2 linked regions of the Rhinolophus ferrumequinum genome follow. The protein of the gene in region 1 interacts with the protein of each later gene in a biochemical or structural test. Links are inferred from orthologs where the notes say so. Each region holds a gene or a part of one and is shown in the gene's direction. Other genes may lie near its edges. The genes, in order: ATM and RBBP8.

The links.
Region 2: of the proteins of ATM (region 1) and RBBP8, one has a biochemical effect on the other in vitro, tested with the Homo sapiens proteins (4 studies listed by BioGRID, with this or other methods). The link is inferred for Rhinolophus ferrumequinum from reciprocal best matches to the Homo sapiens genes ATM and RBBP8.

Annotation. Positions count from the first base shown.
Region 1 is NC_046294.1:77,199,775-77,207,011, reverse strand, and holds the start of ATM (serine-protein kinase ATM), read left to right. Parts: upstream 1-4,050; 5' UTR 4,051-4,275; intron 4,276-4,550; exon of another isoform or gene 4,551-4,750; intron 4,751-5,495; 5' UTR 5,496-5,525; coding exon 5,526-5,597; intron 5,598-5,674; coding exon 5,675-5,787; intron 5,788-7,051; coding exon 7,052-7,197; intron 7,198-7,237. Other genes in the region: protein NPAT, read right to left, coding at 3,608-3,644.
Region 2 is NC_046302.1:18,509,660-18,517,085, forward strand, and holds the start of RBBP8 (DNA endonuclease RBBP8), read left to right. Parts: upstream 1-4,376; 5' UTR 4,377-4,508; intron 4,509-7,426. UniProt on the Homo sapiens protein: Endonuclease that cooperates with the MRE11-RAD50-NBN (MRN) complex in DNA-end resection, the first step of double-strand break (DSB) repair through the homologous recombination (HR) pathway.

The DNA of each region.
Region 1 (7,237 bases):
TGGGAGGAAGGTGTGCCAGTCCTGCTTCTGTTTGCCTTGGAATCTATTTTTTACCCTTTTCCTGCTCTGCACTATGACAGGAAACCTGAGCCCATGCAGGCAATGTTTCCTAGGCTCCAGGTCAGCTGGCTTCTGGCTGGGTTCAATAAATGGGAAGCTCTGGTGTGAGACTGGAAGAAGCCACACCATTTTTCTCCCATTCTCTCTCTGCCTTAATCTCCTCTAGGACTACTGCTCCCTCACCAGACAAACCTACCTTCCATCTTCCACACAGTGAACCCAGCCTCTGGGTTGCCTCGTTTCTCCTCTCCTCCTGTTTTAGTGGCTTCCAGCTGTTGCTACCCTCTGAGTTGGCTCACTTAAGCTGCTGGTCTTCTTACCTTTTATATTGGCAGTGTAACCAACTCCTTCATTAAATCCCTCCATGTTAAATACTCAGATAGGTTTCAGTTTTCCTGAATGGATGCTGATTCATGCAGAAAGGAACAAATCTATTTAGGAATCTAAAGAAAGTTCTGGACGCTTCACCCATAAAAATGCCCCACCTGCACATAAACCTTTACAGTTTTGGGGGATCCTAAAACTATCGAAGCCTGTCCATTAATCCCAGATTAAGAATACTGAATAGGACAAAAAAGCTGCGTAAGTTTCATTTAGGGAAGATAAAAAAGTTCTAGAGGGAAATGATGGTGATAGTTACAGAACAATGTGAATGTAAGTAAATGCAAATAAACTTAATTCCACAGAACTGTACCCTTAAAAATCACTAAAATGGTTCAATTTTGTGTATATTTTCCAAAGAAAGGTAAGTAAACACACATGCTAAGGGAATAACAGAAGTAATGTGCAATGTTGTTGTGGGAACATTTAAGGAGAAAACACTAATTATAATACTTGCTGGAAGAGGTTTCAGCGATTACATTTCACCTGAACCTTAAATATCAGTATGTACTAGGAAGACAGGGAGTAAAACACTGCAGGCAGAGGAAACAGAATATATAGGAATATTTGGAGAAACTGTAAGTAGTTTGGTATGCCTGGAGCATGGGGCAGACGCTGAGAAGTTGAGATCAAGCAGGAGAGGGAAGAAGGATCAGCTCCACACGACACTTTGGATTTTATCAGTATGCCATACAAACTGGTGGCCCAGAGGCAGTAAACAACACTTGGATGTATTTTGGCCTGTGCAATATTTAAAGACATTCCAGCAAGACTAAAGAGCTGGCTGTAGCTGAGTAGCAAGGGCTATCTAAGTGGGGAAGCGAGGTACAAAAATCAGTGCAGTGCGTTGAAAGAAAGGTAGGTGAGGAAGCAGAGCAACTGTATAGTTTTCATTGTTCTTTGAATAAATTTAACTTGTGAAAGGGTGACAGAGCATTAGACAGAATGTGAGGTGGGGTGCAGAAAATGGTGTGTGTGCGTAACGGTAAAAACACCTAATTATGTGAACTCTGAAGGGAGAACTTACTTCTCTCTATTCTCAGCATTTGGCAGTGTCTGGAACATACCAGCACCCAAAGATTTGCTGAAAGAACCTTATGAAGGACAGGGGCCAATGACAGAGAAGGGCTGACGATGCGGCAGGAGAAGAATCATGAGCGAATAATAAAATGAATATTTTAAGCCATTAAGTTTTGGAATTGCTAATCTTTACCTGAATTTCAAGATAATGCTAAATGAAAAAAAGTAAGAGCAGTGAGTGTGCAGACACTTCTTTATTATTCTCTTGCACAATGTTAAATTTTTGGTAAGCACAATTGTTTCAACTTTAAGAACAGGAGGTGTAGTGTAAATGCTTTAGGCAGATTTTGTAACAGTAAATAAGATGAATTGCAAGACTATTGAAAAGCCATGACAAAAGTACAAAAGAGAAGTAGGATAGGTGGCAATCAAAATGGAATCTGAATGACAAAGAACTAGTTTAGGATAAGAACAATGACTCTGGAGTTTTTACCCACTGAAAAAAAGAAGAGCAGCTGTTTGTGGAGAATAAAGACTTTCACAAGTTGGTGTGAATTATTCCAGTTAGAAAATCATATTGCTTTTTTAAGACTAGCGGTTCTTTAACTGGGGGCGATTTTGCCCTCCCTAGTACATACTAGCAATATCTGGAGACATTTTTCTTTGTCAAAACTGGGTGGTGGTGGGGAGTGGGGTCCTACTGGCATCTAAAGCATAGAGGCCACGGATGTGCTGCTACACATCCCACAATGCACAGGAGAGTTCCCCATAAATAATTATCTGGCCCCAATTGTCAATAGTGCCCAGGTTGACAAACCCTGTTGAAGACTGTGGTTACTGAAGCCCATCTGGATCACCAAACTGCCAAAACTCAAAAATTCTTAAGCAAACACTGCATGAATGAAAAAAAATATGTCAATGTTATCGCGAACTTTAGCAAAGTCTACTTTGGATTGGTTTTCATGTAAGCCTAACAAATGTAACAATTGCAAGACAGCTTTTTCTCACAGATATAGATGTAGGTTAACTGTTGATACTCAAGTCTGATAAAATGGGCAAAAAGATTAGGCAAACATTACCAAAATATTAGTTTGACCTGAATCCATTCAATTAGCTTTTCCAAAAATGGATGGTGGAACCACTACCCTCTAATATTTCCTGCAAAGTGTCTAGTAAGAGCCCATGCACAAACACCACTTCTTTGGACAGGGCTGAGTATTTAAAAAAGAAACAAGACATAGGTTTTTCTAACAATAAAACAATGGTAGTAATGGCTGTGGATACTACAGGAAGTTTCATCACAGATGTTTACCATTTACTTTCAGGGATATTGCACATGATGTCTGTAAATCATTGGCTCAAGTTTTGAGCTTTATGTGGCACTCGTTCCCAGCAGTACAATTCTCTTTATTCTTTGAGGGGACAAACAAAACCTGTCTCTCACATAGACAATACACCCTGACAACTGGTCCAAGGAATTAACCCTCCTTAAATGGAGGAAAAACTAACCGGGACTAGAAATTTTAACTGGAAGGAATTTCCCGTGTAATTTCTTGCTCATCAAAATAGGAATTGCTGCTGTTTTAATATCCAACTGGCATTTAAAACCTCTACACTGAACGACTTATTGCGGGGTAGACTGGAGAGGGAAGAACACCCCATTCGCCCCAAATCCGTAGTTCTAAGGGCGAATTATGAGAAGGGCGTCAGGAAGGTCTTTCTACAAAGCTGGGTGAATGAGGAAGTCCTTATATTTTTCCTATTTTGGTCCCAGCCCTGAGAAGGGAAAGTGCGCCCAAGATTGAAAAACACACAGCCCGTCCGTCACGTAGACACCTCTCCTTCAAGGGTCCCAATTAAGTGTGGAGGCCTGACTGGCCCTCCGAATCCGGGCCTCAGGTGTTCCATGCCGAGCTTCTCTTCAGTCCTCTCCTTACCACGCAGCCTCTGAGGAGCGGAGCATCCACACACAAAGAGGCTTACACTGCCCGAGCCTCCGGCTGAAGAAGAGTCACCGCCAGGCTGAAGTTGTAGGCGGGGAGGCAAAAGCCCAAAGCTTCCCCACCCTGGGAAAACCTTTGGCCCCAAAGGTCCTTCCGTCCCGCTTAGCTGGTCCAATATCCCTCTCTCCCGCGTCCGAACTTACCCAATACCAGCCGGGCTACGTCCGAAGGTAACAACATGATCCAAACCGCAGAAGGAACCGCAATAGGAGACAAGACTCAGGTAAAAGCCAACACAGCGACAGCTCCTGCGCCGCATCTCCCGGTTCCAGTGGCGGCACTGAACCCGCGGCAATTTGTCCCGCCTCTTTCACTTCACGCCAGCCAATCGCTTCCGCGGGAGAAAGAAAGGCGCCGAAATGAAACCCGCCTCCGTTCTCCTTGGCACTGTCGTCATTTCCGCCCTCATATTTGGAGGGGTGGGGCTGAAAGGGGCAAGGAGGTGGGGTGCTTGCCCAGGAACTCGAGCCAGAGGACGAGCTGCAAATGCAAGGGCGCAAGCCATTGGTGGGCGAGGCGCAAGCGTGTTTCCTCAGCCGAGTCCAATGTTTTGAGGAAGCGAGTACTTGGAACCCAGAGCAAGTGATGCTGCCGCGCATGGGCAGACGGTGTGCCGGCTGGGTCAGCCTTCTTTCTTCCTCCCGAGAAGGGTGCTGCGCGGTCACGCCAAGTTTGAACCGGAAGCGGGAATTGTGCGTGGATAGCGGGCTGCAGCACTTGTGGCTGCGAGCAGAGGCGAGGAGAGCGGCGATTTGGACTGCAACCACCGCCGCTTCAAGAAATTGCACTTTGGCTGTCGTGGAGTCCTGCGGTAGGCGCACAGAAGCAATGCTTTGGGGGAATTCAGTCCTATCCGAGCCGTTCTAGCCTCTAGACACCCAATCTTACGCACTCCTCTAGAGCGGCCTTTTACTCCTCTCTACACCTGATCTTTCCCGGTCCCTATTCTCATCGCTGTCTCCTGCCCTCTCTCCGAGCTCCTAGCGGATTTAGCCTTGAACCTTTTCTTGAATGCCCTGAATTGAACCCTCCTACGAGTCCAAGTTTAACTAGATGACTAATCTTTTTTCCCTCTCTCATTATTAGTAGTTTTAATCAACGAGCATCTGTTGAGGCTTAAACTACTGTCGCGTGGTTTAAGAACATGGGCTCTGCAATCACACTGCCAGAGTTCGAATTCTGTCAGCTGTGACTTCGCTGTACTATCTTCCTTGTGACAATTCTTGCCTTGTGACAATTCTTGCCTGTGGTGAGCATTGCAGGACGTTCGCTGCTGATTTTACCAGGTATAATTCAGTAAAAAGACTAACAATCCAGGATGATAATGTGATAGAAGAGAACTGTGATAGTAGAGGGGTGAAGGAGGTTCTGTGGAAACAGACTGGGAGAATCAATTCTTTAGTATATTCAGGAATGAAGGTACCTACCTTTATGGTTCTTTGGGTGTTGCTAAGGTGTCTTCATTGGTTAGAATCCCAATTTTATTTTCCTTATTGATTCAATCAAGGAGACTGTAGATTAAACAAAAAGGGGGAAGAATCATGTATAAAACCATAAGGAATGGAAAAATAAAAATAACCTGTCCTCAAGAAGTATACAATCAAATGAAAAAGACTATCAAATAACATCCTGTAACCTACCGCAAAGTAAAGGAGGGTGTCATAGGGATGAGCAGGGGTCAGAAGGACCAATGAATACAAATGGAGAAAAGAATTAGAGCTATCTGTCAATGAAATTGGTAGTCTTACTCTGTAGTTTGCTTCAATTTAAATGTCATGTTTCTTAGAAAAGGTCCCAGAACAATAACATAAATTGTATGTTTTATGTTTTATCCTGCCAATTCACACAAAGCACACATTTGCATGTTGAAGCTTTGTTTTGATATATTCTGAGAAAATCTCATTTAAACTTGGAAATGTTAAGAAAAATCATTGTGCCTTTGATCACGATATGCCTCTAGTTGTACATTTAGATCTAATTATATATTAATAGCATAGTCTGAAATAATTTTATGTATGTATTTTTTTACAGACCATGAGCTGTTTTCTGAAATTCTGAACCATGAGTCTAGCACTTAATGATCTCCTTATTTGCTGTCGGCAACTAGAACATGATAGAGCTACAGAACGAAGGGTAGTGAATTACTTAAATTCAATCTTGCCTTGAAGCAAGCGTGTGGTTGCTAACCATTATTATGTTTTCATTTTCAGAAAGAAGTTGAGAAATTTAAGCGCCTTATTCGGGATCCTGAAACCGTTCAACATTTAGATAGGCATTCAGATTCCAAACAAGGGAAATACTTAAATTGGGATGCTGTTTTTAGGTATTCCATTCTAAGTTTTTTTACTGTATTTTTTATTTGTTGTGATTGTGTGTGTGTGTGTGTGTGTGTGTGTCTGTGTGTGTGTGTGTGTGTATTTTTAGGTTCTTACTTGTCTTTGTTCCCTATATAACATTGTGCTTTACATACGAAGTTAGTGCTTAATATTTATCTGAAACATAATTTTTAAAAGGTGTTTATATAGACAGAATTTTGAATCATTTGTTCAATAAAATGTTTTAGACATGTCTCACTCAAGATTAGAGAATTCCTTTCATAGCAGTTAGTTCATAAGACTTTATTTTAAATTAGAGAATAAAGTTGTAAGTGCTTTATTATTACTTTGATATCTTTAAATATTGCTCTAAATAACTGCCAGATGTTAAATTATAATAAAACATCAAAAGGAATTTTAGAATAATTTCATATGAATGCAATTTAAAAAACAAACAGAGCTCAGGCATTGGACTGGACTGTCAAATAGAATTGATACATTTTTACATTAAGCCAGTTTTTAACTATGAAGTCCATTTATAACTGGAAATAGGTTGGAAGACTTAGGAAAGATGAATAAAATATTTTAAATTAGTGTAGAATACTTAGTAACTTGAAACAGCATATGCAGTCAAAAAGAAGTATGAGTATTGTTCCTGAGAATTTAGAACAGATAATCTATTTTATTTTTTTACCTCTTATTTGGTGCTAGATTGTTACAGATTTCAGTGCTGAAAACATGATAAATGCATGCTTCTTTTCCTCTGGTTTCTTAGTTTATTTCAGATACCACAAATACAGATATTATTTAAAGATGAATACTATTTTGAATAAGCTGATCAGGTAGACCAAATATGCACCTGGAACTCCCAATTAATCATGAATATCTTCTAGGCAGGCTTCATTAAAATGCCAGAAATGTTACCAGCTGCCTAGGGAAGAGTCAGGTCATGTATAGAATAACAGCAAGAGGTGAGAGAATTAAGAGCCGTTAATAGTACTGCAAGCTTTTAATGATAAAGAGAAAGCGGGCAGTAAAGCAATAGAAAATCATGGAGGTTACAGATTAAGAGCTTTGCAGACCAGACTTTAAATTGATACTTGGGGCTTAAGCCTTGAAAAAGAAATTTGATTATTTCATTTAGCTGATACATTGATTAAAGCGACATGGTTTAAAATATGCTCTTTATGATGGCATGAAGGATTTTTTGAAACTATTATAATTATTTAAGCATTTAATGAGTTTCTGAAATTCTATTTTGTTTTCTTGAAGATTCTTACAAGGATATATTCAGAAAGAAACAGAAAGTCTGAAAACAGCAAAACCAAATGTATCAGCCTCAACACAAGCCACCAGGCAGAAAAGGATGCAAGAAATCAGTAGCTTGGTCAAATACTTCATCAAATGTGCAAATAAAAGTAGGTGCTGTGTTATTATAAATAATTGGCTTAATGGGTT
Region 2 (7,426 bases), on another chromosome or scaffold:
TGAACACTTTTTTCTGCAGGTGCAAGTTTGTACTTGTAACAGTTTTATTGCCTTCCTCATTTTATGATCTTTGAACATTAACCCTTGGTGAAAAGTGAATGTAACACTTGCAATTTAAAAAACTTTTAAATTTAATTCTCATAGTAAAAACCAATCATATTCACATCTTCTCTCTCTCTCTCTCTGTCTCTCTCTCTCTCTTTCTTTCTCTCTCTCTCTCTCTCTCTCTCTCTCTCTCTCTCTCTCTCTCTCTTCTCTTTCTCTCTCTTCCCTCCTCCTCCCTTTCTTCTTCCCATCCTCTCTCCCTCTGTCTTCCTCTCGCTCTCTTTCCTTCTTTCAGTCATAGGCAAGATGATTTTAAAGTAAAAATCACAGTCTCCATAACTTACTGGTGTGCAAGGACCCTATTTGGTGCTGTGGTCTTGGGACTGGTGGCCATGTTGAACTTTAAGCAAAAAGAAGTGGAGACACTTCTGGATTCCATGTTTTCATCTTTCTTAATTTACTCCTATTTCGTAGCACATCATTTAGTAGTTTCTTAATTTTACTTTCTGGTAGATTTCTTCAACTTTACCTTCCAACTGCTGTTGACTTTTTATTTCTGCTATCATATTTTTTACTCTCCAATACCTTTTTTATTCTCCAAAAGTTTCACTGTTAGACAGCCTTCTGTTCTTGTTTTATGTAATCAGTACTTCTAGGTTTTTGAAGATATTAATATAGGTGGGGTTTGTAATTATTATTATTCTCCCTACATTGACAATTTTCTATAAATTCTTTTTATCTCTTGGTTCCTTTTTTGTCTCTTTCATGTTAGGTGTTCTCTATATCTTAGAATGAGGCATAAAAATGCTCTCTGTGTCTAGGTGGGATTTATTTATTTATATTAGGGTGATGTTGGCTATAGGCTTAATATTAGGCTAGGGTTTCTCATCTTTGGCGCTATTGACATTTTGAATTGGATAATTATGTGGGGGTTGGGGCAGGGAGAAGGGAGGACGTGCTGTCCTGTTCATTTTAAGACGCTTAATAGCATCCCTGGCCTCTGTGCAGTAGAAGCCAATGGCATACCTCTGCCCTCCACACCCTTCACACACAGTTATTTACAATCAAGAATTTCTCCAGACATTGCCAAATGGCCCCGTGGGTACAACCATGCCTAGTTAATAACCACTGCATTAGGGTGAGGAGAGTTTTGAAATTTTCTTGGAGAGAATTTCTCTAGTTTCCTGCTTTCTGAGTGAGGAGTATGAACCTGGTTACTGGCATTCAGAAGCCAAGCAGAGGTATGGACCTGGGCATCTCACCACTCAATATAGAGACTTTGACTTAATCTCAGTGGTAGGCAGGATACAGCCTCTCAAAGATGTCCACATTCTAATCTCCTGAACCTATGAATATGTATGTTACATAACATGGGGAGATTATCCTGTATTACACAGTTAGACTTAAATATGGAAGAGGAAGGCAGCAGAGTCAGTGTTAGAATGATGCCATGTGAGAAAGACTTGACTGGCCATTGCTGGCTTTGAAGATGGAAGGGAGCCATGAGCCAAGGAAGGCAGGCAGCCTCTCAAAGCTGGAAAAGACAAGGAAACAGATTCTCCCCCAGCGCCTCCAGAAAGGAATTCAACCCTGCTGACACCCTAACTGTAGCAAGTAAGACCCATTTTGGACTTCTAACCTCCAGAACTGTAAGACAATAAATTTGTGTTCTTTTAAACCACTAAGTTTGTGGTAATTTGTTATAGCAGCCATAGGAAACTAGTACAATCTCATTGCTTTCAGTGTAGTACTTTACCATTCGCCTTCATCTCTGCCTGGTATTTTCAAGTCTAGAACCAATCTGGGACAATCTCTCCCAGCATGAATCAACAAGTCCTGCCTGTCTTTTGTCAACCAATCCTTCCATTTAAAGCCTTTCCCCAAACTCCCCCAAACCATTTAGAGATGCCGCCAATTCCAGAAGTTTTCTAGGATTCTGCAGCAAAGATAGACTTTCTTTTATCATTGCAAGTAGACTTCCTCTTTCTCTATTCTGCTAAATCAGTCATCACCTATGCACATTCCTTCTTCCAAAATTTATGGACATCTCTTGTGTGCTACCTCTCTCATTCTGTTTGATCCTTAAGAGTTCATGCTGTTTTTGTTCTTTGCTATTTACTGTTTTGGTCATTGTAGTGGGACTTTAAGAAATAATGAAAAAAACAACCATGTCAACTACTGTTTAACTACAGTTTTATTTTTAGCTGACATTTTATTGGGTGCTTATTGTGTACTAGATTTTTGGATAAAGCCTCATGTGAATTATTTTATTTGAACCATAGAATAACTCTTGGAGATAGCAACTATTACTTTCACCCACATTAAGTAAATAAAATGAATGCTTGATTCAGGTGACAAAGCTAATATGGAACAAAACTAGGAAGGAACCCATTTTTCTGACTCCCAAGTCCATTTTCCTAACCAATCTTGTTAATTTTCACCAGTTTCACTCTTGAGCAGTTGTCAGCAAACCATGGCCCATTGGCCAGATCCAGCCTGTCACTTTATTAAGTTTTATTGGAACAAAGCCACACCCATTCATTGACTATTGTTTACATCTCTTTTTGTACTACCATGTTAGAGTTCAATAGTTGAAATAGAGTTCAATAGTTGAAACAAAAACCCTAAAATATTTACTCTCTGATCCTTGTGGAAAAATTTGCTAAGCCCTGCTCTAGAAAATAACATTATTATTAAGTTTTCAGGTCATGGTGTCCTCAAGTACTTAAAACTTTTATTACTGTATCAAATCAAAGGCATTCTTTTCATTGTTCCCTCAACCTTTTGTTATATTGCAGATATCAATCTTTGATCACGGTTAAGAAAGGCTCTAAACCCATCTCCTTTGTGCAGTTTTTCCCCTATTCAGTCATATTTGCTCCCTTTTCTGTGCTCCTGTGTACCTAATGCAGTTTGATTCACATAATAGTTACTAGTTGTAATTCCCCTTGGATCTAGCAAGTGCTGGTGTTGAGTAGATATTTACTTAAGCATTTATTAAATACTTTCTAAGTGTTGGAGTTTTAGACACTGGAGACACAAAAACAAATGGCAACTTTGGATTAATATGTATCCTATTTAATTAAGTACAAAAAAATAGAAAAGAAGCAGGAGTCTGGGCCTGTGGTCCCTGCAACAACTGCAGCATAATCACAAGTGCTTGAGTAACACCCTAGACCTATTAGTAACACTCCACCCCGGACGAAATCTCTGGAGGTGAGACCCGGTAATTTGTGTTCTTAATCAGCATTTCAGGAGGTACTTAAGCAAGGAAATTTGAGAATCGCTGCATCAATAGATAGAAAAGACTGATTTGAAATGTGCAAGTATTATGACAGAGTAAGAACAAATCTCACATGGTCTCCCTTAACACAAACCAATTTCCATCAATATATGATCTTGTGTTGCTCATTCCTTCTTTCCAAAAGATTCCTAGACATGCTTATCTAGAAATTTGGACAGTCCTCCCACCTCTTACTAAATGTGTCTTTTTCATCATTGTAACCCTGTACCGGGCACAGCTTCTGGCACCTAGTAGATATCAGTAATTTGTGTTCAGCTGTTGCATATCCAAAGTAAAACCTCTCCAAGTTGTCCTAGTATATAGAAATAGGAATTTTTCCAATTTTAGACTGGGATGGTATAAGGATCTTTTGAGTACAAGGAAGATTAACACACCCAGGTAAATGTTTAGTCAATCTCCATCTTGTTTTCCTCCCTCTGGAAATGCTTCCTTCTAGCTCTCAGGGCCACTACTCTTGTGGGAATATCAACCTCCACGTTAAGGCTAAGCTAGACTGAATAGAGCCAAGTGGACTAGTGGAAAAGGTTAAACACTATAGGTTCTTCATGTAGATATTCTCCTTCTAGAAGCTTTAGCGTGCAGAGCCCTAGAGTACATTTTAAAAAGGGTTACCTACCTCGGAGAACGATAGATACTCACGGAGAGGTTTATAACAATGGACTCTTGCTATACCTGACACAGATCTACCCCTCCCACTAGAACTCTGAATTATTTTGCTGGAGGCTACAACATTCTGAGCAGTTTATTGGAAGTTGCAGGTGGGGATAACTCACCCAGTACAAGCTTAGCAGAACTGAGCCGCTGCAGCTTGTTAGGCTAGCCTTTGATGCAGACTGGTTGGACAGGTTCTGGACCTACAGAAGAACCGGTTTGACTGGCCTGTTATGCCAACATATTCTGGTTTGATTCCATGTTCCACAGACGGTAGAAACCTGCCCAGCCAGTTAAATGAAAGACATATTAGGTTATCCATTGCACACTGTATATAGCTTAGATGCAGCACAACTCTTCCACATAGCAGTAGTGTCTAGTAAACTCTAGCGTGGTCCAGCGAGGTGGCTTCCACTGATTTACTGTTTAAGTTCATAGCTTCAGGGAAAGTCAGCAGTGAAACACCTGCTTTTGACCAAGAGCAGAGGGTTTCTAAATAAATTGAAGGGTAAGTTAATACATTTTTTTTTATATATTTCTCAGTATTCTGTGCACTTTTGGAAGGTTAAATTAAATGATGTTTTAAGATGTCTATTTTTAATATGATAATAACTGCATTATACCTTTTATGTAAAACTGGTTCTATATGGTTTTGTAACACTTGCATATATGTTCACTGATTTGTTTGGATAAAGGTTATTTGGTATATAATACACTTTGGCTATACCTTTTTGTAAGTTGGGCATGACTTGGGCATACAGTCATTTAAAAAGCTGAGTTGAACAATTTTGCTAAATATATTTCACCTATTAATGATTCACCTTAAGCCATCTACTTCTTTGATAATGTCCTATTATGTTTTATAGACTGTTGCTACACAGGAACAATTTTATATGATAAATCTAATTGTGGATGAAATAATAATTGCTTTTTTAAGGTGCAAAGAAAAAAATGGTGTTGGCTTCCTTGGTGATCCTAAGTACATTAGAGGAACAATTCACAGCAAGAATTGAGGAGTGTGGAAAAAAAAAAAAAAACATTGTGGAATCTGGTAACTGATTAACTATTGGAGCTCAAAAGCACTTGCTGAGCTGAATAGAAAGGAATGAAGACAGGTTTTGTCATGCCTTATTACATCCGAACAACTTTTGGGGTTAAAGAAAATTTGTATCTTCCGTTCCCTTATATTATATTTGAAAATAATTATTTTATGTCTCCCTTTCATTGATCCGATTAATTTATGTTAGGAGTTTGTGTCATTTAAAATGAAAGTTACCGATCCCTTTAGATTTATTTTGGCATACCAAACTACCCCCTTAGTATTAGGTTGAATTGAACGCATGCATCTTCTTGGCATTCAATTTAATGTTACAATTTACACATGAATTTATTTGGAAATTAAAATAATTTTTTTAACAGATTTATACTGAATATTCTCCTGTCTAAAGCTATTTGTAAGCTATCTTAATATAACTTTGCCTTGAGCCTAGCAAGACTGATGCACACTTTTCATTGTCACTAGAGTTCTTACTTTGTCATTGTATTCACACTCAAAGGCTATAAATTTCTTTAGAATGCTAATAAAGAATTTTTTAAGTGAGAATAAATATTCAGATAAGATTTTTTTTTTTCTTTTCTTTTCTTTTTTTTTTTTTTTTGGCAAAACCCTTTGGATGCTTTTTCACTCCAAAGCAATTCTGCATAAAACTGCTGATAATTCAGCTAAACTTCTAAAAAGCCATGTAATGTTGAATCTGCAAAAGGAATGTGCTGATTCAGCAAACCAAAATTAATTTTATTCAGCATAAGCTGTATTCTGACGATTTGAAGGAAATATGGATCAAAATTTTTAGTTGGGTGAAATTTTCTCTTTTCAGGTAAGATACAGACATGTCAACAGAGTATACTTTTAGTGTTTTTGGTGACTATATTATATATGGTAATTAAAAATTTTTAAATCATATAGTGTTTAAAATACAGGGCTTACTGTTTGAAAATAAACTTAACTTGGAATTCAAATTTATTTATTGAGCATTTTTATATCTATGATTTTAAGAAAAGCAATTTAAAAGCTAGAGGTATATTTCATAAAAATCCTTGGGCAAAATTTTAAGGTTAACTCTACATTTTGGAGAGGGATTTTACAGTTTTCATTTAATAGGATTTTCCGTTTCAAATATATGAAAGTGCTATTAAACATGAATTTTATGTATTTCCATAAATCGATTCCTTTAAAATATTCATACATTGTGATGTTTTGATTAAAATTAAGGATATACGGATTTATCAATCAAATTAGGAGTGTGTGTGTGTGTGTTTGTGTGTGTGTGTGTGTGTGTATTTTGAATGGCCCTAAATTATCTCAGGGCCAGGGTCAAAAATTGTTCTACTCATTTAAAAATCTTTCAATTCTTTAAGTCTCATTGGATGAATTCCTTTATTCCTAGCGACACAGTTTCACACAATGACTGTTTTTGTCAACAATGTTAGCTTTCTTAACAACAGTAACCTCTTTCCTTCCTGAATATCTGCATGGGTTTCCTGCCAAAAGCACTTAGAATCCTAACATTTTTGAGCTAGAAGGACTCTTAAATATAACTAAGGAATCCAACTCCTCATGCTTGAGTTGAATGAAAAGCCCCAAAATGTAGGTGAATCACCACTATATAACTTAAGGGTCGCTCTGGCACCAGAACATCTCAGTTTCCTGAATACCAGCCCAGACTAATAGTGGTTTTTTTTCACTACCCTACATTGACTCTTCTGAATGCTACATGAAATCTAATCTGTTTTCTAAAGGATTTGTAAAAAGATAAAATTGTATTGTAGAGTTATGTTAATGTGTCTTTGCTGAACTAAGAAATTATTTGTTTTTATATCTTAATCTATATCATTATTGTCCCCAAACTTTTTTTGTCATAGTGGCTAAATTTATGGAGTTACCATTGGTAATGAAGGTGACTACCACTTCAAGCCCTTAATCTCTTAATGCCATCATAAAATTTTGTATCAAACTGACACACTCCTTAATATTTCCTTCATATTCCCCTTCAAGTTTGAGGATCTTGCTGTCGTTTTCTGACTTAATATTGCTTTAAACTATCTCGACTGTTTATTTTCTTAGTATGCATGTATTCTTGTATTGTTTTAGTCACTCTTATGTTGATATAGTTTAGGATTTTTGCCTAAAAAGTTAGTACATCTAAAATTTGGTTAGAACTGACAGGAAAGTTTCAGTAAGGTTATGAAGACCAGAACTGCAGGATTCAAAACCCATGTCTGAGATGATAGAACTTGTTATTTAAGTGGTGAGCTCTTAATACAGTGCTATGCTTATAATTGATCAAAAATTCTTTGAATGTTTTTAACTTCAGGAATTCCAAGGAAATGGGCCTGAGAACAAAAGTCTCAAAATTTTCAATTCTA